Linked DNA regions of Arabidopsis thaliana. The protein of the gene in region 3 interacts with the protein of the main gene of each other region in a pairwise test. Each region holds a gene or a part of one and is shown on either strand. Other genes may lie near its edges.

Evidence for each region.
Region 1: the proteins of KNAT7 (region 3) and FMA interact in a two-hybrid assay, tested with the Arabidopsis thaliana proteins (one large-scale study listed by BioGRID).
Region 2: the proteins of KNAT7 (region 3) and APA1 interact in a two-hybrid assay, tested with the Arabidopsis thaliana proteins (one large-scale study listed by BioGRID).
Region 4: the proteins of KNAT7 (region 3) and ATH1 interact in a two-hybrid assay, tested with the Arabidopsis thaliana proteins (one large-scale study listed by BioGRID).

Annotation. Positions count from the first base shown.
Region 1 is NC_003074.8:8,714,601-8,720,130, forward strand, and holds FMA (basic helix-loop-helix (bHLH) DNA-binding superfamily protein), read right to left. Parts: upstream 3,612-5,530; 5' UTR 3,477-3,611; intron 3,233-3,476; 5' UTR 3,173-3,232; coding exon 3,155-3,172; intron 3,019-3,154; coding exon 2,353-3,018; intron 2,241-2,352; coding exon 1,806-2,240; intron 1,576-1,805; coding exon 1,490-1,575; coding exon of another isoform or gene 1,486-1,489; exon of another isoform or gene 965-1,485; coding exon 925-964; 3' UTR 518-924; downstream 1-517. UniProt on the Arabidopsis thaliana protein: Transcription activator. Together with MYB88 and MYB124, ensures that stomata contain just two guard cells (GCs) by enforcing a single symmetric precursor cell division before stomatal maturity. Together with SPCH and MUTE, regulates the stomata formation.
Region 2 is NC_003070.9:4,016,170-4,022,641, forward strand, and holds APA1 (aspartic proteinase A1), read right to left. Parts: upstream 4,597-6,472; 5' UTR 3,828-4,596; coding exon 3,800-3,827; intron 3,711-3,799; coding exon 3,358-3,710; intron 3,274-3,357; coding exon 3,213-3,273; intron 3,028-3,212; coding exon 2,933-3,027; intron 2,849-2,932; coding exon 2,736-2,848; intron 2,653-2,735; coding exon 2,484-2,652; intron 2,398-2,483; coding exon 2,358-2,397; intron 2,226-2,357; coding exon 2,161-2,225; intron 2,070-2,160; coding exon 1,956-2,069; intron 1,856-1,955; coding exon 1,791-1,855; intron 1,674-1,790; coding exon 1,517-1,673; intron 1,420-1,516; coding exon 1,300-1,419; intron 1,210-1,299; coding exon 1,121-1,209; intron 1,035-1,120; coding exon 950-1,034; 3' UTR 543-949; downstream 1-542. Other genes in the region: AT1G11905 (B-cell receptor-associated protein 31-like protein), read left to right, coding at 1-53; AT1G11915 (wall-associated receptor kinase galacturonan-binding protein), read left to right, coding at 5,661-6,472. UniProt on the Arabidopsis thaliana protein: Involved in the breakdown of propeptides of storage proteins in protein-storage vacuoles. Possesses aspartic protease activity in vitro.
Region 3 is NC_003070.9:23,335,403-23,341,217, reverse strand, and holds KNAT7 (homeobox knotted-like protein), read right to left. Parts: upstream 4,052-5,815; 5' UTR 3,751-4,051; coding exon 3,469-3,750; intron 2,571-3,468; coding exon 2,450-2,570; intron 1,896-2,449; coding exon 1,696-1,895; intron 1,602-1,695; coding exon 1,470-1,601; intron 1,011-1,469; coding exon 870-1,010; 3' UTR 526-869; downstream 1-525. UniProt on the Arabidopsis thaliana protein: May be involved in secondary cell wall biosynthesis.
Region 4 is NC_003075.7:15,914,164-15,919,967, reverse strand, and holds ATH1 (homeobox protein ATH1), read left to right. Parts: upstream 1-1,814; 5' UTR 1,815-2,428; exon of another isoform or gene 2,429-2,579; 5' UTR 2,580-2,762; intron 2,763-3,079; 5' UTR 3,080-3,094; coding exon 3,095-3,943; intron 3,944-4,035; coding exon 4,036-4,379; intron 4,380-4,471; coding exon 4,472-4,532; intron 4,533-4,935; coding exon 4,936-5,103; 3' UTR 5,104-5,298; downstream 5,299-5,804. Other genes in the region: AT4G32970 (BRISC/BRCA1-A complex protein), read left to right, coding at 5,668-5,804. UniProt on the Arabidopsis thaliana protein: Transcription factor which may be involved in the signal transduction pathway downstream of the COP1 gene. Controls floral competency as a specific activator of FLC expression. Is responsive of the nuclear import of SHOOT MERISTEMLESS (STM).

The DNA.
Region 1 (5,530 bases), on a different chromosome or scaffold from region 3:
CAACTCTCTCCATTTTCAAAAGTAATTACAATGATTATCTTACCATTTAACACAATAATACGATTGACAAACACGAATCTTTTTTGCTTACCTTCGATGAATTAATATAAGCTATATAACAAAGGATCTTCAAGTCTTGGACGGATTTGGAATTGGAATTCTCTGGCCTTGGACTCTGTCAAGATCTTACCCCCGTACGAACCTACTTGGTGTGAGAAGAAAACCAAGCAGTGCTTTTGGAATTTATTGTGTATGTGTCGGATCTGACTTGGATTAGAGCTAATGGTGAATATATAAAGAAGATGAAGACAAGAGTTTCGTCTTTGTTGACGTACGAGAGAAAGATTAAAGACAATCATTTTGAGTCTCCTAAATGAATTTGTTTTTCTGAATTCTGACACTTAGTTTCTTTAGTCAAATCACTTTTGAAAAAGTGTAAAAGCGTCACTTTGTTTAACCGAATGGTCAATTTTTTGAAGATTAAAACTGGCTATTTCTAACCTTTTTTTTCTTCATGTTTTCTTGTTGTATATATATTGGCCCATTTCTCATAGACAAATCTCAAGAAAATGATAGTTCCTCTCCCTCCCCTCAAGAAAAGTTTTCATGCATTGTTTTTTTCTTTTCTTTTTTATTTTGTGAAAAAAGTTATTTCAAGTAAATAAGTGGTTTAGCATTCTAAACCGCTTGTTCAAAACCTACAAATCAAAGCAGCAGAAATCACAACAACGAGTTCTAACATTACAAGCGACACAATCATCACTAAAATTTAAATTGCATGAAAAAAGCCCCAAAAAAATAAAGTAAGCACTCCCTTTAACTTAAACACTCTTCCAAATGCTTGGAGAATAAAACCCAATATGTAGAGATTATTACGTACTGTAATCTTCACCAGTGTACAAAGTTGTCGCCGTGTGATGATTTTCAAGTAAACACAATATTTCCCAGGTTAGAGCTTCCAGATCTGAAATAAAATTGTTTCCAAGCTTTAACACTTCAAATATTGTGATAAATATGTTACAATATATATATATATATATATACACACCATATGTAACACACAAAGAAAATAACCATGATAGATTAGATACACCATATATATCTAACATTAAAAGCAAATAATCATAACATCTAAAAGGTAAAAGAACAAACAAAAGACAAAAGCTAGACATCTAAAATAGTAAAATGTATAACATCGAACCACCAATATCTTTTACTCTAAGACTTTTTACCAGACTCATATACTCACACACTCACAGAGTCACACACACACATAGTAATGATGTCTTGATGATTAGATAGACCACATTGCACACAAAAAGATATAATCATGACATCTAAAAGGTAAAAACAAACAAAACACAAAAGGCATGTGAAATGGATAACAATGAACCAACATAAACTTTTGTTTTAAGGGACCAACAGAAACTTATCAAAAGTATCTTTAATCGAAAGAATATTTAAATAGCAGAAAAATATATATCCTTACATGTTGGTATTTGCATGAATGAAACTAAATATCTGTTGGATGGAACTTGCTATGTCTTCTGCCGTAAACCTCGTTTCACTTGTTATCTGCACATATTTTACATCTACCTCATGTTAGCCATTGATAGTTATTACATATACTTTAACAATACAAATCCATAATCTATGATTATATTGAAAACCCTAAATAAAATTATAAATGTGTTTTATGACAGCTAATCCAGATTAGATAATTACATGTATTATTTGATGAGTCTAGATTTTGCATATGAAAGCTGAATATGAATGATGAATTACTTTTTAACATATAAACTTGCCTTGACATTAAAGGAGTAGAGGACGGTTTGTTCCATGGTAGTGATGTTAGTGTGAAGAATAGAGAGATGAAGATCCTCCAAAGCAGCTATAGTCTTAATCAGCTGTCCCGGCCTTCTTCTTGAAAGTATCTTGATCATGGCGTCAAACCCTAGCAGCTTCACCTCCACGTCAGCCAAGCACGACTTGTTCTCCGCAGTCTCCTCCCGAAGCCCTCCTCCGCCCTCTAGCTCGGTTACATTTCCCGTAATAATGAGCGGTTGTGCTTGGTTCGCTACCGTAGTTATGGGAGAAGAAGAAGAAGTCGTTGTCGTTGTCATGTCCCTACCGGTTTCTCCTAAGATTCTTCGACGCTTCTGTGATTCAAGACATTGTAGGAGTTGCTCGAGCTCTCTCACAAACTCTATTGCTCCTCCTATGATTGACGCTTGGTCTCCCTATTTTATACAATTAATATTTGGTGTAGACAGTATAATTAGTTGTACATATACATATAAAAAAACATTCACGAAAATTCTTTCTTTAAGATATAATTTATGAATATCATACCCTTTGAACGTAGGAGCCAGGCATGAGAGATCTAAGGACACGAAGATGCTCATTCATTTGCTTCCTACGGTTTCTTTCGACCGCGATATGAGTCATCCGTTGGCTTTCCACTTCTTCGCTGGTCTTGCTCGTTCTAGCTCTCTTCCTCTTGCTCTTCACCTCCTTTTTCGTAACATTCTTGTTCTCCCTATCTTCTTCTTCTCCTCCAATAAAACGTAGTTGCACGGAGTTGTTGTCGTTGTCATCGTCTTGATCTTCTTTTTCTTCAAGAAACACATTGCCTATGTTTCCTCCACACTCACCTCCTTCTTGAGACGTCTGATGAGAAGGCATGAGATGTTGGGTTTGGTTATGGTCCTCTATTTTGTCGTTCAAGACAGGGAACTTCAAGAAATAAACGGGGTCAATCCCGGTTTCTTGATCGTCTTGGTTTCTGGTCTGGTTCAACGCAAGTTTCGAACCGAAGTCCGCAAACTGCATCACATCAGAGAAGTTCATTTTATCAAAAGGTGTTGCTCCAAATCCGGAAGGAGAGAGTTGATGTTGCTGCTGTTGTGGCATCGATTGCTTTTGTTGTTGTTGAAGGTTTCTATTGAACATATAGTCTATCATACCAGAGCTGTTATCATCGTTACCGCCTGAGGATTCACCTAAGAAGTTTGGTGCCTAATAAAAACCAGAATTGGAGAATGAAGTTAATATCATAAGCAGGAAGATTTGAATCTTATACATAGATATCTATCAATTTGTATAAGAAAAGAGATTAAGGATCTTGAAATACTGGAAAAAAAAACGTACGTACCGAGTAATCTTTATCCATTGCTATTCGTGGTAGTTGATTATAAACTGCTTAAGTCTAATGAAGGTCAAGCTTCTTGACCTGATGACAACAATCCATGAGCTTCACAGTCAGTTTTAAAAACATATACATGAAACAAAAACACACGTAGAACAAGTTAAAACCAAACCTAGGCAGATTACATGTTTCACCATATACATATACATGTATTTTATATGTACAAAACAAGTTTTCAAATTGAATTTTGACAATTAAAAAAAATGATTAACACCAAATATATTAGAGCTTTGTTTAGTAAGGAGTTAACAAAATAAAAGGGACTGACCTTGTATGATTTGCTAGGGTTTACGAGAGATGTATATAAAAGACGCAAGACATGCAAGATAGTAGAAGAAGACGGATTAGAGAAGACAAAACTTAAAAAAGTGAGGGGAGCTTTTTGTATTGAGAAGTCATAAATGAGTAAGCATCACCAAGCTCCCATATTTATAGAGAGAGATACATTATACATGTGTACACAAGGTATAGCAAGGGGGCATTAAATTTCTTAAGTATGTATATTCGTAATCATTTGTTTCTCTAATTACTAATTAGGGTGTGAATGGTACACATTCGTGACCCAATAAAAACAAATTAAACGACTTAAAAAAAGATACGTAAACATGTTTCAAAAAAAAAAAAAACAATTTTCTAAAGAATAAAGATAAATGAAAATCTACATAAGTTAATCTAAAATATTGAGGATTAGTAGTAAGTAGTTTGATTGCAGTGGCTGTTTTATTCTACTATCATATTCCCATTAATTATCGAGACATCATTGTTTTTCGCAATTTTCTATGCATTCTCTTTTAGTTTCTAAAAGTAGAGAAATATCAACCATCACATAAAATGTTTTAGAAAATCTAAAAACTACAACCAAAAGATATCAATCGTGGGAAAAATGAATTTTCGTTACTATTGTCCTTTTTTATTGCTTTGTAAGAAAGAAAAAGGGATGTTATTATTGCCCTCTTATAATTGTTAGAGATACTTAATGCTTAGTAAAAAAAGCTTCCAATTGTAGCAGGATAAAGCCGTGCAGTCGGAAGTTCTCAATGTCTCCCCAAATGCTTTTGCAGAAAATCATGATTGGCTAATCAAAAGATGCTCATTCAATCAATCCCTTTGTATTATGCACATAATGTGTCAATATTAATTTTCATCCCATTTGATATATAAATATCATTACATATATAGTTATCTAGTTCTTCTCTATCTTCTACATAGAAACACATAACAATCCAAATTTTACGGTCAAATTTGAAATGGGGGATCTAGAGCAACTCCCTAGCTTATTTTGAACAAAAATTAAGTTCAATATTGACTCAAAAGAAAGATTATTGAATATTCCAAATCATATCTTGTTTTTGTAATAAATACTCTATTTCTTTTTGCGTTAGACGTAAGGGTGAGGAGCCACAAAATACGAAAAAAGAAGTAACGTGAAAACACACGTGTATCAGCTGATCACCTCTCTATCTATCTATCTTTTTTTTTTGTTTGTCAAACCATAAATGATAAGATTTGAGTTTTTAGAGTTCACAAGCCAAGGCCGCTCTTTTTCCACCGCTTTTCGTGAACTTAATCAAATCTCTATACGCTTCTCATCTTTTAGTTTATTTCTATAGTATTTCAAATTCAAGCACTTATATTAGTTATGTGTTGTCAATAAAATATGATTTCTAATAAAAATATTCTGGTCAAATATATGAAATTAGTTTCACGAACATGACCTATACTATTTGTGTGTGTACGTGGAGACATATACATTTAAAGAAAAAGACACTGGTGTGGATGGTTACGTTTTAACTTTTAACAAAAAGTGGAGTAAAAATTCACGTTGATCAATCCAGTGAACTTTTTCGGGAATAAGAGTCGCGGATCCATAGGAGTATTTTAGTAGGTGCATATTACACAAATACTATGTTGAAAAGAAAAAAAGAAACATGAAAGAGCTTGCATCGAAGCATCAACCAAAAAAAATACTTGCTGCAACCATTCCCAATTGAGCCAACAAAACAACTATTACGATACATAACACCCACAGGCCACAAGCATCGAAATACTGTAAGATATATAGATTTTAAGATCAAACTTCAATGATAGCGAGCGAAGAGACTGATTGATATACTCAATTCTTTTTTAATTCCAAAAGAATAATTTACATTCTTTTTTATCATAAAAAAAAGTAAAAAACATAAAAATTTGCATTCTTATACCATAAATTTATTGTCAATATACAAGTGCAGTTCAAACCAAGTAAACACACATATTTATTATATCTATATCATATACATACTTTTGTTTTGGACTTTTTTTTCCCACTCATATCAATAAATT
Region 2 (6,472 bases), about 19 Mb from region 3:
TGCACACTGTGGATTCGAAACTTTCGCGTTCAAGCAGCAAAAAGAATACTTGAGAGACCTTATTCCAACACTTGAAACTTCTTTGCGATTCTGCCGTCTGAATATATATGTTTCGAGTTTGATATCAGGAGCTTGTGGTTTGGTGTTATCGCATCTTGTTAACATGGAAGATGATTGGGAAAGATCAGAGAATACAAAACAAGTATAGGTTTGCTTCTTGTTTAAGTGTTTAGCTAAGGTAGAAATTAATCAATTCTTCTGCTATAGGAAACTGTAACTCGTTGTAACTTGTTCATTTCGCAACAAAAACTTCTCGAATTGGTTCTTATTTCCTTCCATATACGTATACAGTCGCTGCAAGTGGGTTGTCATTATAATTTCTCATAAGTTCACAGACTTGTTCAAAATAGATACTTGTTCCGAAATTCAGGAAGGATGCTGCAAGCTTCGTGTTGGGGAATTTACCTCGCTCTTGACGAATTATTAAGGTTTTAGAAAATTGGGTCTCAAACAGTCTATCAACTTAAAATGCATGTTTCAAGCAGGAACGTTCTTCAATATATGACAAATAACTATTATCATCGTGACTTTTTGACGTAGGAATTTATGTGGTTAGAAAATGAAGATAAAGCGAGCTTGACCATTTTCAAATTTTTTATGCTACACCGTTTTTACCGAACCATTTGATACAACTTACTAAGCATAAACAAAAGAGGCAGGCTTTATTAAAGTTTTCAGTTTTTTCACCATCGAACTTACTTAGAAGGTATTTACAAAGCCAATGCCTTCAAAACTACAAAGGCCTTTTTTCGTTAGGAAACAACTTAAAAGGAACTGCGCCACCATTTCTACTACGACTCAAAGTCCTCAACTCCAGAAAACATACAAACAACACTTGAGACGCAGATTGTTCATACTAAAACCATACGCGACACCAACCCGATCGTGTTTAGGCTGCCTCTGCAAACCCGACCTGTTCGTTACCAAAGTCAAATACGGTGTGGTATTTGCCCATGAACACATCTCCCAAGATCCTGTTACATTTTTACCACCGTTCTTAGGGTTAGAAAAAGAAAGCAAGAAGAAATTGTGCTACAGAGTAATAGATTCAATGGTTTACCAGAGAGGTCCACGAGGTGGAGCAACGTCAAGAGCAATAAAACCACTGATGCACTGTGCCACAGGTCCCTCACCAACTTTCAGAACATACTGCTCACATCATACCAGTACAACAGATTAGTAGATGGTCATATTCACTACATAATATGAATGTTGTCTTTAAATAGTTCACTATCATACCTCTTCTGGAGCAAGATCAAATACTTTGCCTCCAATGGTAAGTGAAACAGTGGGCATTGTTGACAGTTGTGCACAGTCAACTGCAGACTCTCCCATTGGGCTGGGGAGGCGTTCACATAGCTGTTAAGAAAACCCACAGTAGCGATTTATAATCAGTAATCAGGACAACAATAACTACTGTTTCACAAAAGTCTTGAAATGACAACTTATTGGTTACCTCGTTGACGTAGTTCAATATGCGCTCTTGAGTCATGTTTTGCCTCAACTGGCTCTGGATCCACACAACAGCCATCTCACATGCAGAACACGCAGCATCTCCAACACCATTAGACAATTTGGCGTTTTCCTTGTCCACCACCGACTCAATGCCCATACTAGATAATTTATAAACAAAATCATACTAAATATGAGCAGATCACACGGAAAAACAAACAAGCATTCCAAAATGAAGATCCTAGCTTAATGGCAATGACTACAGATTATAACTTTACCTGACACCACGGGTACCATCAAAAGTACACAGACCAATCTGCGAGCAGATTTTCTTCGGTTGGGTCTGCAAGGCGCAAGGGGGATGAATGGTAAGCCAAAATAATTTGCACAGCATATGACTTGTCACAGATTTTATTAGCTAGTCCAATATTAAGCACACTAACCTCAGACAAAAGTAAATCCAAAATGGTCTGCCCGTATTGATCCACAACAGTCTTGCACTGCTGGCTAACAACTCCAGCTGCTCCAATAGCATGGTTTATCATGGTGATTATAGTCTACACAGGGAAAAAATTGAAATATTACTACATATACTAGTTAAAAAACCATAATTCTATAAAGCTATAAGCAATTTTAATTCTTGCTTACCGTTGGACCGGCAAGCAAAGATGTACCAGAATCTGCTATCGCAGAACAGCCACTTTCACAGAACCCTGTATAACAGTAACTCAAACTTTAGAACCAGTTGTCACCAGCAAACATAAATAGCAAAACCTTTTTGAATTTGTCAGGAAAAGCTATATATATGTGTTATAAAGAACAACGCCAATCAGTGTTACACATACCAGTGGGTGCACCGCCAATAAGAACATCACCCATGTCAAACTATAACAAAATATATATAGCTTGAGTTAGATCGTCACTGGAAAACGTTATGAGAAAACCAGACAAGGAAGTGATGTATCACAAACCTGCCAGTAGCCCTTTTGTGTCACAGGAACATATGTATGTTTGCCCTTGAAATGATTTGGATCAACACCTCCAAATACAAGTTCACCACCTTCTTCTTCATCTGCATTACGGTTAAGCCAAAATGAAAAAACCGGCTCCTTGATAAGGCCTTGCTTGAGCATGTTGTACCTGTAAAAAACAAGACATATTAGCATTAACACTACAGGAATGTAGTAACTCAGTCCAAACAAGAGAAGAATGTGCAGGCATACCAAACAGGAGCAGCTTTTCCAACAGAGATCTCTTGGAATCCAAGACCAAGGATACCATCAAATTTAGCTACAACAAATGTTATACCAGGCTCCTTGGTTGCCTCGATAAACTCCTGATGAGATAGACAAATGTTAAGAAGGAGGTCATTGATGTGTATGTTGTAAGAGTACTGATTAGGGTCGGACATATAGTTTACCTGATCCTTGACAACTAAATCGCCAACTGTGACAGCATCATTACTAAAAAAACCAGCAATTGCTCCAGTGCCGTAATGAATTGCGGCAGCTTTTCCTGCATCAAAGATGAGCAAGTTAGTTATAACCTAGCAGCTGCTATCAGTAGTGATGTTGCATCTTTTAACAATGGTTTTCTGCACATTAACATGAATTCTAGAGGCTACATTGAGTGAACTGTAAAGTATCTACCAACTGGGAAATCCAACTGCAAAAAATTTCAAGTTAAGAGAGAGAACAAACCATTCTTCTCATATGTGCTTGAACGAGACGACTTGTATTTGGGATGCAAGAGACATGCAAGCTGCAAAAGAGATAGAACACAATTAGTTTTCTACTCAAAAGTATCTCAACCACAGCTAACAACAATAGTCCAAATGTTGCTTACTGAGAAATAGCATTTTGATGATGGCACCCAGAGGTTAGAGCTCCCAGTGTCAAAAACCACAGTGAACTTCTGAGGTGGAGTACCAATGGCGATCTCACCATAGTACTGAGCATCTAGATAATTCTTAAGCACAACAACATCAGCATCTCCAGAATCTCCAAGTCTGTAAGCTCTCAGGGGCTTTTCTTGCTTGGATTCGACGCGTGCTGCAAGCCGATTTTTCGAATCCAACTTGAGTTTTTTCAGTCCAACTCTGAAGGTCCCGTCATTGCGCTCAGCAAAGGCAGAGAAACACAGGAGGAATGACACAATGAGTGAAACAGCAACCGTTCTAGAGTATATCTTCATTTTACCTATTCATTGACAACAAAAACCAAAAACATAAAACAAAGAAAGTTAGAATCAAGAGACCATCACAGAGAAAAAAAGCAGAGAACCATACCCATAAAAGTCAACCAGTATGTATACATATATTTATATCAGAGAGTTCATATTGAATGATGCAACATAAAAGAAAATTTGTAAAGTGACTAAAAATAGGCTAACTCGGTCCTCCTCCTCAAACAGATAACGAAGGACAATGTTACACGCAATATATTGTACAAACTACAAATTATTAGTTTAATTGGTCTCTCTCAATCAGCCACGAAGCAATAGCGTGGAAGCAATAAATAAAGTAAAAACTCTCTTGACTTTGCAAATGACTAAAGACTTCTTTTGCTAGAGAAAGTGATATAAACCTTGAAATCGACATTTGCTTGCCGAAATCAGAAAGCAAATACCCAGATTACAACAAAACCCTAAACATCCGTTCCTATAAACCTTTTCAACATAAATGGAAAGTTTTGTTCAATAAGACAAGCAATCTAGTAAAAAAAGGAAACAATCTCAATTGCACCAAGACTCACATGCAACATAATTGATTCATAAGACACTGAAAATCGCCACAATCGCGACAATAACAAGAGCATGAAATTTATTTTCTTCTTCTCAATCAACTAAAAACGATCACAACTATAATCGATAAATCTTCAAGTAAACAGTCCGATTACGTAATCAAACAAACCTAAAACCCCAAATAAATTCATACCACCGATGAAACCAAAATTAGCCACAAACCATACACAGATCACAAAATCTAAGCGAGTCTACTAATCACATCATACAATCATCCAGATTCAAAATCGAAGAACATGAAATTCGGTAACAAAACTCTTACCTAACTGCTCAGAAAACGATTTATGAACAAATCCACGAGTATTAAGGACAATAAATTAAGCAGAGAACTAAAAGTATAAGACAATCAACGAGAAGAGAATCGATAAGTTTCATAAGAAAGAGAGCTCACCAAAGCTAAAGCACCAGATTCTCAGAGAAATGAGGATTTTTGTTGAAGAAAACGAGAAGAGAGATGGTTACATTTATTTGCGAAGAAAGAGATGACTGTGAGGAGGGATAATGCTAAATTAACCGCGCTGTCTCCTAAATGGACAATTACAGGTGGAGGCCCACTGTATAATCCCGTCAAAAAAAAAAAGGAGATTTCGTGTGGGCTAATGTTTCGTTATTAGCCGTTGGATCTCTATATTGAACGATTGGATTTAATCGTTGACGGATGGATAGGAAGGCGTAACGTATCAAGTTTTATATTTAGTGAGAAATCACGTGTTTACGAATTTAGAGTGGATTACGTGCTCCTTGGAATACTAACCGTTGGATTGAGATGACTGAAATTGAACGGTTTCGATTAAAGAGTTCACCTTACATGGATAATGATCAATGTGTTGTTTATATTGGGCCTATGAGAAGCCCAATGTGTTGTTTACATTGAGATTATCTTCCAAAGATTACTTCACAAATCACAACCCTTTAAACGAAATTCTAAATAAAAGAAAATTCAAAACTATTATATACTGAAATTACTATTTTGTATTTTATAAGGTTCTCATACATTTTATTTTTTTTGTTAAATGGTTTTTAGATAACATGTTAAAGAACAAATTTTGTTGTAAAATATCAGAAAAAAGAATAGTACGTTTGTTGACATATTGTATGTAAATATTTCAAATAATCTGAAACAAAACCACGAGTCCTCTTGGAATACTTTATACTAAAAAGAAAGGTGAAATTTTAAAAACAAACCGAAACCTAAAATAAGCAATATTAACAAGCACATGACAAGATTGATTCTTAAACTCTTTAACAAGACATTCCAAGCTTACTCAACACTTCACACCACCAAATTATAATCTCATAACTAAAAACTACCCAATAATCAAATCTAAACTCCTAATTTTTGAACAATGTCTCCACTTCACTCTTACATTATCTTCTTCTCCCTTCTCATGACCATCCTTCTTCAATCATCAACAACATCATCCCAATCAAATCTCTGCAGATCTTCTTGCGGCAACATTCCGATAAATTACCCTTTTTCCATCGACGACGGTTGTGGTAGCCCTTATTACAGACACATGCTCATTTGCTCCGACAACGATACCAAGCTCGAACTTAGAACACCATCTGGTAAATACCCTGTTAAATCTATAAGCTACTCTGATCCTCACCTTCTTGTCTCCGATCCATTCATGTGGAACTGTCAAGATCGAGACAATTTTCGACCCACTAGATCTTTTAGCATCGATTCAAGTACACACTTCACTGTCTCTCCTCAAAACGACTACTTGTTCTTCAACTGCAACACCGATAAAGTTATCGTCGAACCAAAACCGCTCTTCTGCGAAAGGTTTCCAGATAGATGTGACTCGTCCTGCGATAGTTCTAGCTATCTATGCAGACATTTGCCTGAATGTGGCTCTGCTTTGGGATCTAGGGTTTCTTGTTGTTCGTATTACCCTAAAGCGACTCAATCTCTTAGGCTCATGCTGCAGGACTGTGCGACGTATACAAGTGTGTATTGGAGGAGTACAGGTGTGGAGAATGCACCGTATGATCAGTTTCCAGAGTACGGGATAAGGGTTGATTACGAATTTCCAGTGACAATGAAGTGCCTTCTTTGCCAAGAAACGACTAAAGGTGGTGGAGTTTGTGGGTTTAATACGAGGACACGAGATTTTTTGTGCCTTTGTAAACAAGGCAATGTCACTACTTATTG
Region 3 (5,815 bases):
AAATGTACAAATCCCCCTGCCCTTAAATACCATACACGTTATCGAAAATATATACGTATGTCACTAACATTCATTTATTAAGCAGTCAGTCCAACTTCTTTTGTCAAATTAATTAGTAGTTTAATGTTATAGTAATCGGGGGTTACCATAAGGCATAAAGTAATGTCTTTACTTTTATATATATATATATAAACAGATCGGATCTTCTGTCTGAATCGTAGTGGACAAATGATGGCGGCATGTGGTGACTTTTCTAAGATAGTAAGATCCCAAGTTCTCAATCTCAAGAGCTATTTTTTCTTTTTTAATGAATACATCATATATCTATTTCTCGGTCTAGTTGTGTTTGTAAACTCGTTTGAAAATATTAAGTTACACAAATCTTGGTATCAAATAAAGAACTAGAAAACTATACGTTAATTAGTTTTTGAGAATACCAATAATCTAAACTGGAATTAAACTAATCCATTTTTATGGACGATTTCTTTCATTGATCGGTCCAAAGATATTATGATATGGCTTATATTTTATAAAACACTGCCTTTTTTGTCGGCATCATTACTTTATATTTCCAAATGATGGTCTAGTCATCCACGGAAAACACGTTACAAAATCAGTGTTCTTACCAAAAAGATAAATTTGAATGCACAATACAAACAAAATGAATTACAATCTAGTAACAACCAGTAATCACGCAACGCACAAATCATATAGTAGTCGGTGGATCTAATAAGCTAAGTAAGTACATGATATTAATGATCACACCTCGTTATTATCAGTAACATGAATTACGTATGTATCATGCATGTCTTAGCAGTGTAATTAGTATGAATATATGTAGAGGTAGTAACTAATATAGTAAGAAGAGATTAGTGTTTGCGCTTGGACTTCAAGGAAGTGAGGGAGTGAGAGTTGTTGTGCCAATTCCTCTTGCGTTGGTTAATGAACCAATTGTTGATTTGCTTCAACTGCAATCCTGTCTCCTCCACCAATTTTGCCTTGTCATCTTCCTGTTCAAGACACATATTTTTTTACATTATAAATTTGTTGTTGTTAATGACATTTTAGGAAAGAAAACAAAAACAATCAGTTTCAGTTTCAACGAAGAGAGGCCAATGCATGTGCAGATCTGATAGCGTCAAAGGCTATTTCTTTTCCACTATAGCATGCAACTTTAGACTGTAGTCCACCTTTTTGGCTTGTGCCAAATATTGAACGGGAGAGAGATGTATAGTGTTTTTGAGTATTAGTAACAAATTCAGTATGTTTGAAGAATAGAAAAAAAATGCATGTTGTGACTTTGAGTGTAACCAAAATGGGTCTTGATTGTTTCTTTGCATTTACATATCTATCTTCATTTGTTGTTTCATGTTATAATGATTATCATATTATTTCATGAAAACGTAAACCCAAACAAACAATTAGACGGAAACTATATTTGTTGTTCGTAAAATATAGAGAGTACTCACCGTAGGGTAAGGCCATTTGCAATGTTGTTGCCACCAATTTTTCAAGACAGTAGTTGTGTCTCCTGGCAATTTCCCAGCCCTTCTCTTCCTCATTATCTCTTCTCTTACATCTTCGATTCTCGATTTAAAACCCTTATCCGAAAAATAAACAAACGTCATAACAAGAAAATAAATAGTAAAATAACTGTATTACTATTGTGAATCATAACATATTAGTTAATTATACCTGTTTGAGTTCTAGTTTGAGTTCTTGTCTGACTCTTTCCATAAGGGATCTTTCCGATTCAGTCGGTAGCAACGGACCAAATCCCGTCATATCGTGGCCGCCGCTAAAATCAACGCCGGAATTATCTGACGAGAAATCCATCGGAAGATCATCCTCATCCTCCGACATAGTCGCACCCGACCCTTCTCCTAAAGTTGCTCCTACAAGAATACAGAACGTTTTAAACGAAATGTTACTCCAACAGTCAAACTACAAGATTTAGACGTCAAGCCCAAGCCCAAACTTAGGCTCAAGCCTGATATGCCCTTACGCATACAATAATCCTAATCAATACATCCCACGCTTTACGTGGTCATCAGTGCAAAAATAAATATTTTTAATAATTTCGTATAATTAAGAAATTTCATCTTTAGACTAATCATATAATATAACTATATAAGCACAAATAAAATCTCTATTTCTTATTGTGTGGGCATATAATATACTCTTCCTGATCATCTTCCAACACCTTACATTTAATATGTTTACTAGTTGTTCATATCTGGTATGATCAGCAAGAACCTTTAGATATACCTAACTCTATTATTTGTTTTAACTATCGCTAATTTTTAACAGGAATTTTAATTATATATATCTTAAGTACTTTCTGATTCTATAGCTATGTGGTATATATAATAACATGTAATTATCATGAAGTTATGTTTTTTAATTGGGTTATAAAAAATACCATTAAAAAAGTGGAAAAGAAAAGAACCTGTAAGAGAATGAAGGTTGTTCTCAATTTCACGGCAAGCCATAACAGCTTCGACGGCATGAACCCTCACGTGCTGTTGCAGCTGTTCTTTGAAGCTACACAACACCATTACATATTGTGCCTGTTTCCAATTAATTATAATTGTTAAATGTTTTATATATCCTCTCACATTTCATATAATTATTCAATGTGTAAACATTTTCCACATATATGCATACACACATATAAATATGTGCTTCTGGTGTGGTGTGTTTTGAGCGGTTAGATCATTATATAGTCCTATTTTCTACCTAACTTAAATAAATATAAATAAAACCGAATTTTTTTGGAACATTTCACAAGCTAATTCCAAAATTATAGTTGCAATATCAATTCCAACTTTAATGCAATTGCAAATTTTAGGTCGGAGTAGAAAATCAATCGTAACTAACATGATAATATTCAAAGTTTAAATAGAATTTCAATTTAATTACAAAATGACATTTAACATTGACTCACTCTATGTGAAATTTAGCACCTAACTATACAAAAAACCATATCTACATCTATGTGTGTGTATTATACATTTGAACATTCGTGTGAAGATACATAAATTTCCATGAAAGTTGAACAAAACCACTTCTTCACAAAAATCAGGTAAAAAAATACCAATAACTTAAATCATTGGAAAAAAACATAATTTGTTTGAAGTATAACTTCCCACAAGAGGAATTAGTAATTATAAAATTTATAGAAATTGTTGATATATTGACAAAAGGTTTACATCTTCGATCGATAAAACTCCCAACGATCTTGTAAAAAGTAAAACACGAAAATCATTGAAAAAAACATAATTTGTTTGAAACATAATTTCCCAACAGAGATTGGTTAGTAATCATAACTTCATTCAAAGTTAGTCCACTAGAAACCATCAAAAAAAAACTTTCAAATGAAAAAAGATAGAAACAGAACTTGTAAGTAATTTAACCAAACAAGATTATTTTTTAAAATATAACTAATAAATTTATATTCAAACGTACCAAGAAATTATCGAGCTCGTGACGATCATGATGGTATCCAACGGCCGTGGAAGCGTAAGAACGGAGAAGATGATGAGATTGAGAAAGCTGAGCTTCAATGATCGGAAGTTGATCTATTGGAGTAGCTACTCTTAAACACGCCACGTGTGCGGCTAATAATTGCTCATACATCGGATGTGTCGCTATCTCACCTTTCAACTGTCTATTCTGCTCCGCCACGACCGCGGTGTCTCCGTCTCCGCCTACGGTGGCTCCCATCATACCTAGTGCCGCTTCTTGCATAACCTTGACACAAGACCGGAGAGAGATACTTTTTGTGTCTGATCAAAACCCTAATTCTTGAAGCAGATTGTGTTCGTATGATTAGAAAAAGAGAGAGAGAGAGAATTGTCAGATGAAATCAACCTATATAAAGCTGTCCTGATTTCTTTCCCCTTTAATTGTTTTTCACTCCATTCTTTTCTAAAAATATACATTATTTGTTTATAGATTATTTTGTCTTATTTGTATACAAAATACATTTAAAACAATGTTTGTTATACACGGGTCTGGTCCGGCCATACCATATATTATTTTTACATAGATCAAATTATATTGAAAGTATTATTTTTGTATTGTTAATCGAAAGACTGAAAACTAGAATTACTAATTTTCATCAGATATGTGAATACAAACACACGGACGTTGATTGTTTTATACGGTGATTGTTATCTTTACAATTAATCTGAATTACTTTAGTCTAGAAAACTGCTACTATATATATGTTTGATTCCACAATATGCTGATATATACCTTGACGTAAAGTTATGAAAAAAGTGCACGTTAACAACGTGCTTTACAAAAATCATAAATACGTGTATATGTATGTATATAAAATGTAAACTTAAAATAAAAATTAAAAACACTTTTATTTTCCTTCTCGTGACAATGATTTAAGACCTAATAAGTGATCAACAACTTGAACTTAAAAATTAGTTGAAATTTTGAAAAAGAATGAGGAAAATAAAATATCTTCCCACCTTTAACGACAGGACCGGTAGACACACCTAATCCTCTAACGCCCACTTAACAAATAGTATTAACACCTAATTGATAATACTATTTAATAGTATAGAAATATAGTATATTTGTTTTCTTCTTTTGGTAAAGAACAAATATAATTAGTTATTCTTTTAAAATATTAAATACTCAATTACGTGATACAGTTAAATTTTTTTGGACAAAATGTGATACAGCTTTGATGCACCATTTCTTAGTCATATAACCTTAAAACAGTAACACTCTGATAATTTAATTGCAGTATTATTTGATAGATAGAAAAATGCTTTCATATTTTTCCTAGTTTGATATGAAGTTAATATAGCACACAAACAATAGTTTGATATATGAACTTTAATATATACTAATAGTTTTTAGCTAGAATTTCAGAAATATCCATAAAACTGAAAAAAAAAAAATTGATGTGTTGTGAAACGTTGTTAAGTCCGGATACTCTTGTGGCATGGTTTTTTGTAACGTCATGTAATAGTTCCGTTCAGAATTACAAATCTTCTGAACATACATGTTGGACGTTAAAAAAATTATTTTTCCACTTCATCGTTTAAAAAAATATATTCTTAAATCTTCTGGTTTTCCTCCGGCTTGGCATATTGGAGCCAATAGCCATCCAAGTAGTCTTAAGTTTTTGCAAAAAAAAAACTGCAATTAATTACAAAAACTAAAATAATATTTCATCATAACAATGGAATCCTTGGTCGTTGTAATTGCATATGTTGCATGTAGTTTATATCGTAATAGGATTAGATCAAATATTTTTAATAATGCCAATAATACATGACACAAAAAAAACTAAAATAATAGCACATAATATATTCTATAAACAAAAATAAAAAATACAAATTAAAAGAGGATTTTGCATATTATTAAATGAAAAAGAGAATAATGCACGCCTTCACCAATATGGAAAAACTACTTTCCATTTCTCCCTTTTTATGTAGTTATGTACAAATTCCCTTTTGTTTTACGCAATGACATCAAAAATATTCGTTCGTATAGAAAAATGAAAGAAACAAAATAAAGAGGGACAAAGACAGAGTTGGTCGAACAAAGAAAAGAGGGACAGAATTGTCGTTCTCTTAAGCCTAAGATTTAAGACATCTCACATCTGAAACAATTTGTGGTCCTATGAAAACGACTTCTCAACTTATAATAATGCTTTTGACACAAAAAAAAACTTATAATAATGCGGCCATTAATCAGAGAACAATGAGATACTATTAGTGACACGATACTAAGTTTTAGTGATTTAATGTACGGGCCATATAATATTGTGAGTTTGGTGGACCTA
Region 4 (5,804 bases), on a different chromosome or scaffold from region 3:
CTTTCCAATTTTCTAAAAGTAAAAATTTACTTTAATTTTTTTTTGGGAAAAACCACACCTTTTAATGTATTGGAATAAGGTGAATGGTTTGGGCTCTCTCAAGGGATGTCTTTCTTGCATTGCATCATCTTCTATTCTTCTTCTATCTGCATTGCATCAATGAATCCACTAAAGTTTGGTTCCTGGATGGGTGGTGATAGAGATGGAAATCCAAATGTCACGGTAAAGGTGATAATGAGGGCTTGCTTTCTACATTACTTTTTTAGGGTTAGAATTTTGCTGGTCACTCAACTTGCTAACACACTTTGCTGGTCATTAAGAGTGAGTCCTTGATTTCTATGTAAAGATTAACTTGCTAACACACTTGGTTTTATCAATAAATTTCTTGTTCACAGAAGGAGTATTGCATATGTTTAGGTGGATGGCTATCGATCTTTACGTAAGAGCGATTGACATCTTAAAATTATACGCCGCTCTGAGAATGAATGTGTGTTTTCTGACCCTCAAGTGCTTCAGACACTGAGAATGAATGTGTGTTTTCTGATCCTCAAGTGCTCGACTTCTATATTAATTCGAAAGGAGTTAAGATCAAGTAGATTGTTGAACCTCAGTGAACTAGTTAATGCCCTCTGTGATCATTTATTCCCATTTTGCTTAGTCTGCCTATATATAATTCTAAGTCAATGAACTTGTATAATATTCTAAGCAAGACATCAGTAGCATATAGTATAAGTTGATACACAATAATTAAGCCAAATGACTTGGGAAATTATACGACTTCAGATAAAAAGCGCTCTAGTCTATGGAGTAGATTAAGCATCTGCTGGTGCTGGAGTCGATAGGCTCCATAGCCAACGTACATTTTGTTTCATTTTAGAAAAAGCATTACAAGTTCTTGTTTGGACTATCAGACAACAAAAAAAAGTAACTTTTATAATTCGCCTAGGACCCAAAAGTTATGAGCACGGGTCTAATAGTCTAACATTAATAAGTGTTATTGATTAAGATCGTAGGCATGATTAAAGATGCATTCCAGCTTCAGTTAATAGTCGGTACTATAGTTCCTAGTGTTATTGATACTATTCTGCTTTACTAAATCAAAATTTCAAACTATTAAATAATATAGACTTGTAAGCAAACAATAATAAGGATATGATATCAATAATTATCGATTTCTATTGAAAATAATTTTGTCCTATACGAACAACAATAACTGTTTCACCAAATCAATATCCAATTTTGCTTGGAGTGGCCATGCAAGATACTTGTCCTTGACCCTTTTCTTTGTCTCATACCAGCTTAGAAAGTCATTGTTTAGGCAAGTACCATTAACATTATTTAAAATACAGATCAAGTCACGCTAATACAGATCAAATCAAGTACCATTAGATTTTCTTCTTCTTTTGGTTGTAATAAAGAAGAGCATAATTTCAGATGTTGCAATCTATATAGTCTACGAGTAATAGAGTTCAATTCCATCATCATTAGCCATGATAATAAAGACGTAACACATAACGACACATTGAACTTAAAATAAATAAATAAATAAATAAAAATGATAAGAAAGGAACAATCAAAGAAAAGGCCAAGCAAATTGATTGATATTTTTGTAAAGCTTACGTAAAAAACTTATATGAAAAAAATACGTAAATGGATATAAGATTTGATGGCACAATACAAAGACACGAGTGGTGAGAAAAGAAAGAAGAAAAAGCAAGAACCCAAATGGATCACACATCTCATCAATTCTCCTTAAATGGCTAAAAAAGATCTCACCCTTCTTTACTTTTTTCCCTCTTTCTGATTTGTGATAATTGAAACCAGCACAAGAAGACAACACCATTTTCTTATAACTTTATAAAATTTTATAAATAGAGACACATACATATATATATATATAGAGACATGTAAATAGTAAAATGTAGGGTCTCTTCCCTAATTTAAAGCCTGCAACAGAAATGAGTGCACTTCTCTGTAGTAAACAGTAACACATCGGTCTTCTTCATGTCTTTGGATTTCTTTTTTGGATTTCGATTCTGTTTCAACCATATATTTTCTTTAGATAATTTTACTAGATTCATCTCTTTCTCTATGAACAACATTTTAAATAAATGACATTTTAAGAAAGTGATTATATATAAGATTTTCTTGATTCTGATTTATCTTTTTTTTTGGTCGGAAGATCTTAAAGATATGAAAATGGATTCGTGTCATAAACAGAGGCAGCTCCGTACGTGATTTGGCCCTCCTTCTTTTCAACTTCTTCTTTCTTGAATATTAAAGTTGTATTTTTCCCCTCGATAATACAACTTTTGGTTTGTTTATTTAGTTATAAAATGTTGCTATTTGTTGATCTAGTGCTCTGAATCTTTTAGTGAGGCAGATGATGAAGATTATGAATTTCTTCATGAAATTATTGTAAGAAAAAGTAAGTAATTTTTTTTGTAAGTGTTTGCGTTCATGCAAAAGAGATTAATCAGACCCACTTTTCTCTTTTTCAGTTTTGTTGCATTATTTTGTTCTCTTTAATTTATGAATACTAACTTTATTGTTGATTTCTGCTTTTTGGTTCTCTTTAGGAACATAGAGAAGCTGCGGAATGAAAGTACACTGTTCTTTCACGGAGAAAGAAGATAAATAAGCATTATCTTCTTCTTCAGTTTTTAACACACATTTTGGAAATTTTGATGTAAAAATTCTCTTTGGAACGTTGTGTTGTCTGAAATCTTCCCAAAGGTTCTATCAGAAGAAGAAGGATAAAGGCAAGTTTCAACATTTTTAATGTTCTATGGACATTTGTAGTAATCTAAAGCTTTCTTTTTTACTTATTAGTTCACTGTTTATCACAGATAGCTTTGAGATATTATTGGTCTGTGTATCATTGAGCCTAGTTACGGCTTCATTAACTCATGTTTCGGTTCTTTATATATTTTAATGAAATATTTAATGACATAGTGAGCGATGTTCTCTGTCTCTTGCAGCATTTTACATTTAGTACTATTCTCCAAAGATTTGGTTTCTTAGATTTTCTGAAATCTTTTGTCTAAGTCTTAAATACTTGTCTTCTTTGGTAATGCAGTTTCATAGAAACCCAATGGACAACAACAACAACAACAACACTTTTAGTTCTCTGGATAATGTCATGACTAACCAAAATCCTCTTCTCATGGATTTTATACCTTCAAGAGAAGATTCAACTTCATTCTCAACAATGCTTCCATGGAATACCATCAGATCAGATCCTCTACAAATGGGTGGCTTTGATATTTTCAATTCTATGCTGACTAACAAATACTTATCATCTTCTCCACGGTCTATCGATGTTCAAGATAACCGCAATGTTGAGTTCATGGCTCCTCCTCCTCATCCTCCTCCACTTCATCCTTTGGATCATTTAAGACACTATGATGATTCCTCAAACAACATGTGGGGTTTTGAAGCAAATAGTGAGTTTCAGGCATTTTCAGGTGTAGTTGGTCCAAGTGAACCAATGATGTCTACATTCGGTGAAGAAGATTTCCCGTTTCTAATTTCGAATAAAAGAAACAATGAGCTTTCATTGAGTCTTGCATCAGATGTTTCTGATGAATGCTCGGAGATAAGTCTTTGTGCAGCTACAAGATTAGCCTCAGAGCAAGCTTCTTGCAGCAGCAAAGACATTTCTAATAACGTTGTTACTCAAGGTTTCTCTCAACTTATATTTGGCTCAAAATACCTTCACTCTGTTCAAGAAATACTATCTCATTTCGCCGCATACTCGCTCGATTATTCATCTCGAGGAACCGAGTCAGGAGCTGCTAGTTCAGCCTTTACTTCACGTTTTGAGAATATAACTGAGTTTCTTGATGGTGATTCTAATAACTCGGAGGCGGGTTTCGGATCTACATTTCAAAGGAGAGCATTAGAAGCAAAGAAAACCCATCTCTTGGATCTTCTTCAAATGGTATGTAATATATTCATTCACTTTTTTTGCATAAGTTAAAAAAATGGTTTGATATATATGATGAAGTTTTATGAGTTGATATTTCTCTTCAGGTGGATGATCGATATAGTCATTGCGTAGATGAGATTCATACGGTTATATCAGCGTTCCATGCTGCAACCGAGTTAGATCCACAGTTACACACCCGGTTTGCCCTCCAAACCGTTTCCTTCTTATACAAGAACCTGAGAGAGAGAATCTGCAAGAAGATAATCTCTATGGGATCTGTATTGGAGAGAGGCAAAGACAAGACTCAAGAAACCTCTATGTTCCACCAGCATTGCCTTCTTCAGCAGCTGAAACGAAAGAACCATCAGATTTGGAGACCTCAACGAGGTTTGCCTGAGAAATCTGTTTCGGTTCTACGGAATTGGATGTTCCAAAACTTCCTTCACCCGTAACAATCCTTACTCTTCTTAACTATCTACTTTATGATGATGACATTGTTAACTCGATTTTATAAGCAAAGTTATGTTTTATTTAATGCAGTTACCCGAAAGATTCGGAGAAACATCTTCTAGCTATACGAAGTGGCTTGACAAGAAGTCAGGTAATGTCTCATGTTTGTTTTCTTATGCAATGACTCATTGATAACAAGCTTTGTTTTCTTATGCAATGACTCATTGATAAGATCTTTGTTTTCTTATGCAATGACTTATTGATAACATCTTTGCTCACAATGATAGCAAATATGGTATTCAAATGAGTAATATATATCTTGACATACTAGTCATGTCTGAAAAACCGGTATTGGTTATTTTAAGATGAGATTAGGGCTAGGAAAAAATCAAGCTTTTCTCTTGAACTACAAATGAGACTAGATTATGTATTCTTGAATTCACAATAATGTTACTCAAGTCCTAGGATTGTAGTCGCACATATGTTTTGTTACTGAAGTAAGTTAAAGCGGGCAAATGATATAGAGTGTGTCTCTTTGTTGTGTGTGATTAAAGGTATCAAACTGGTTTATAAATGCGCGGGTTAGGCTATGGAAGCCGATGATAGAAGAGATGTATGCGGAAATGAACAAGAGGAAGCTCAATAACAGTCACATTCAACCCAACGGACCAACTCTTCGAATGCCAAAATCTGTTATGATGAGCCAAGCAATGCATAAATAAGACAACAATTGTGTTTACCAACTTTGTGATAATTAGGCAATTGCTACTCTATGATTGCCCAAAACCTAAACCATGTACGACTATCATTACGTATGTTATAATTGTATATACAACTCCTTTATCTTTGACTATTTCATTTTATTATCCTGTATTCTTATATCATAATTATCATCATCCTCATTAAACTTCATGATCACCATTTTTACGTAAAAATAAAATTAAGTTCATGAAAATATATAAAAAGTATGTAACCACTGAAGATTTATTTTCATATTTATTCAAACAAACTACAAAATACAAACCTAAAGTTTTATTTCACCGTTTGCATTTAACTTTTTTTCTCTTACAAGTGAGTTTTATTATTCCAAAAACTGAAATGAATAATGACGAAAATCTCCTAGCAAGCGACGTCGTATTTTGGTTTGACTTGAGAATCTTCGGTCAACTAATAAAAACGCAGCGTTTTCATCTGGTACGGACACAATTAGAAATAGAAAGTAGGAAAAGGAAGACACTTTGCTAAAACTGAGGAAGAAAGTGTAAAGACGGAGCCTTTTACGGCGAATGGAGGAAGACAGAGCCACCATGACCGGAGCTGTAGCCACTCGAGACTCGGTGGAACCCAGCGAAGACATACTCATATGCGTCGATGTTGATGCGGAATCGACGGTGGAGATGAAGACCACTGGAACTAACGGTAA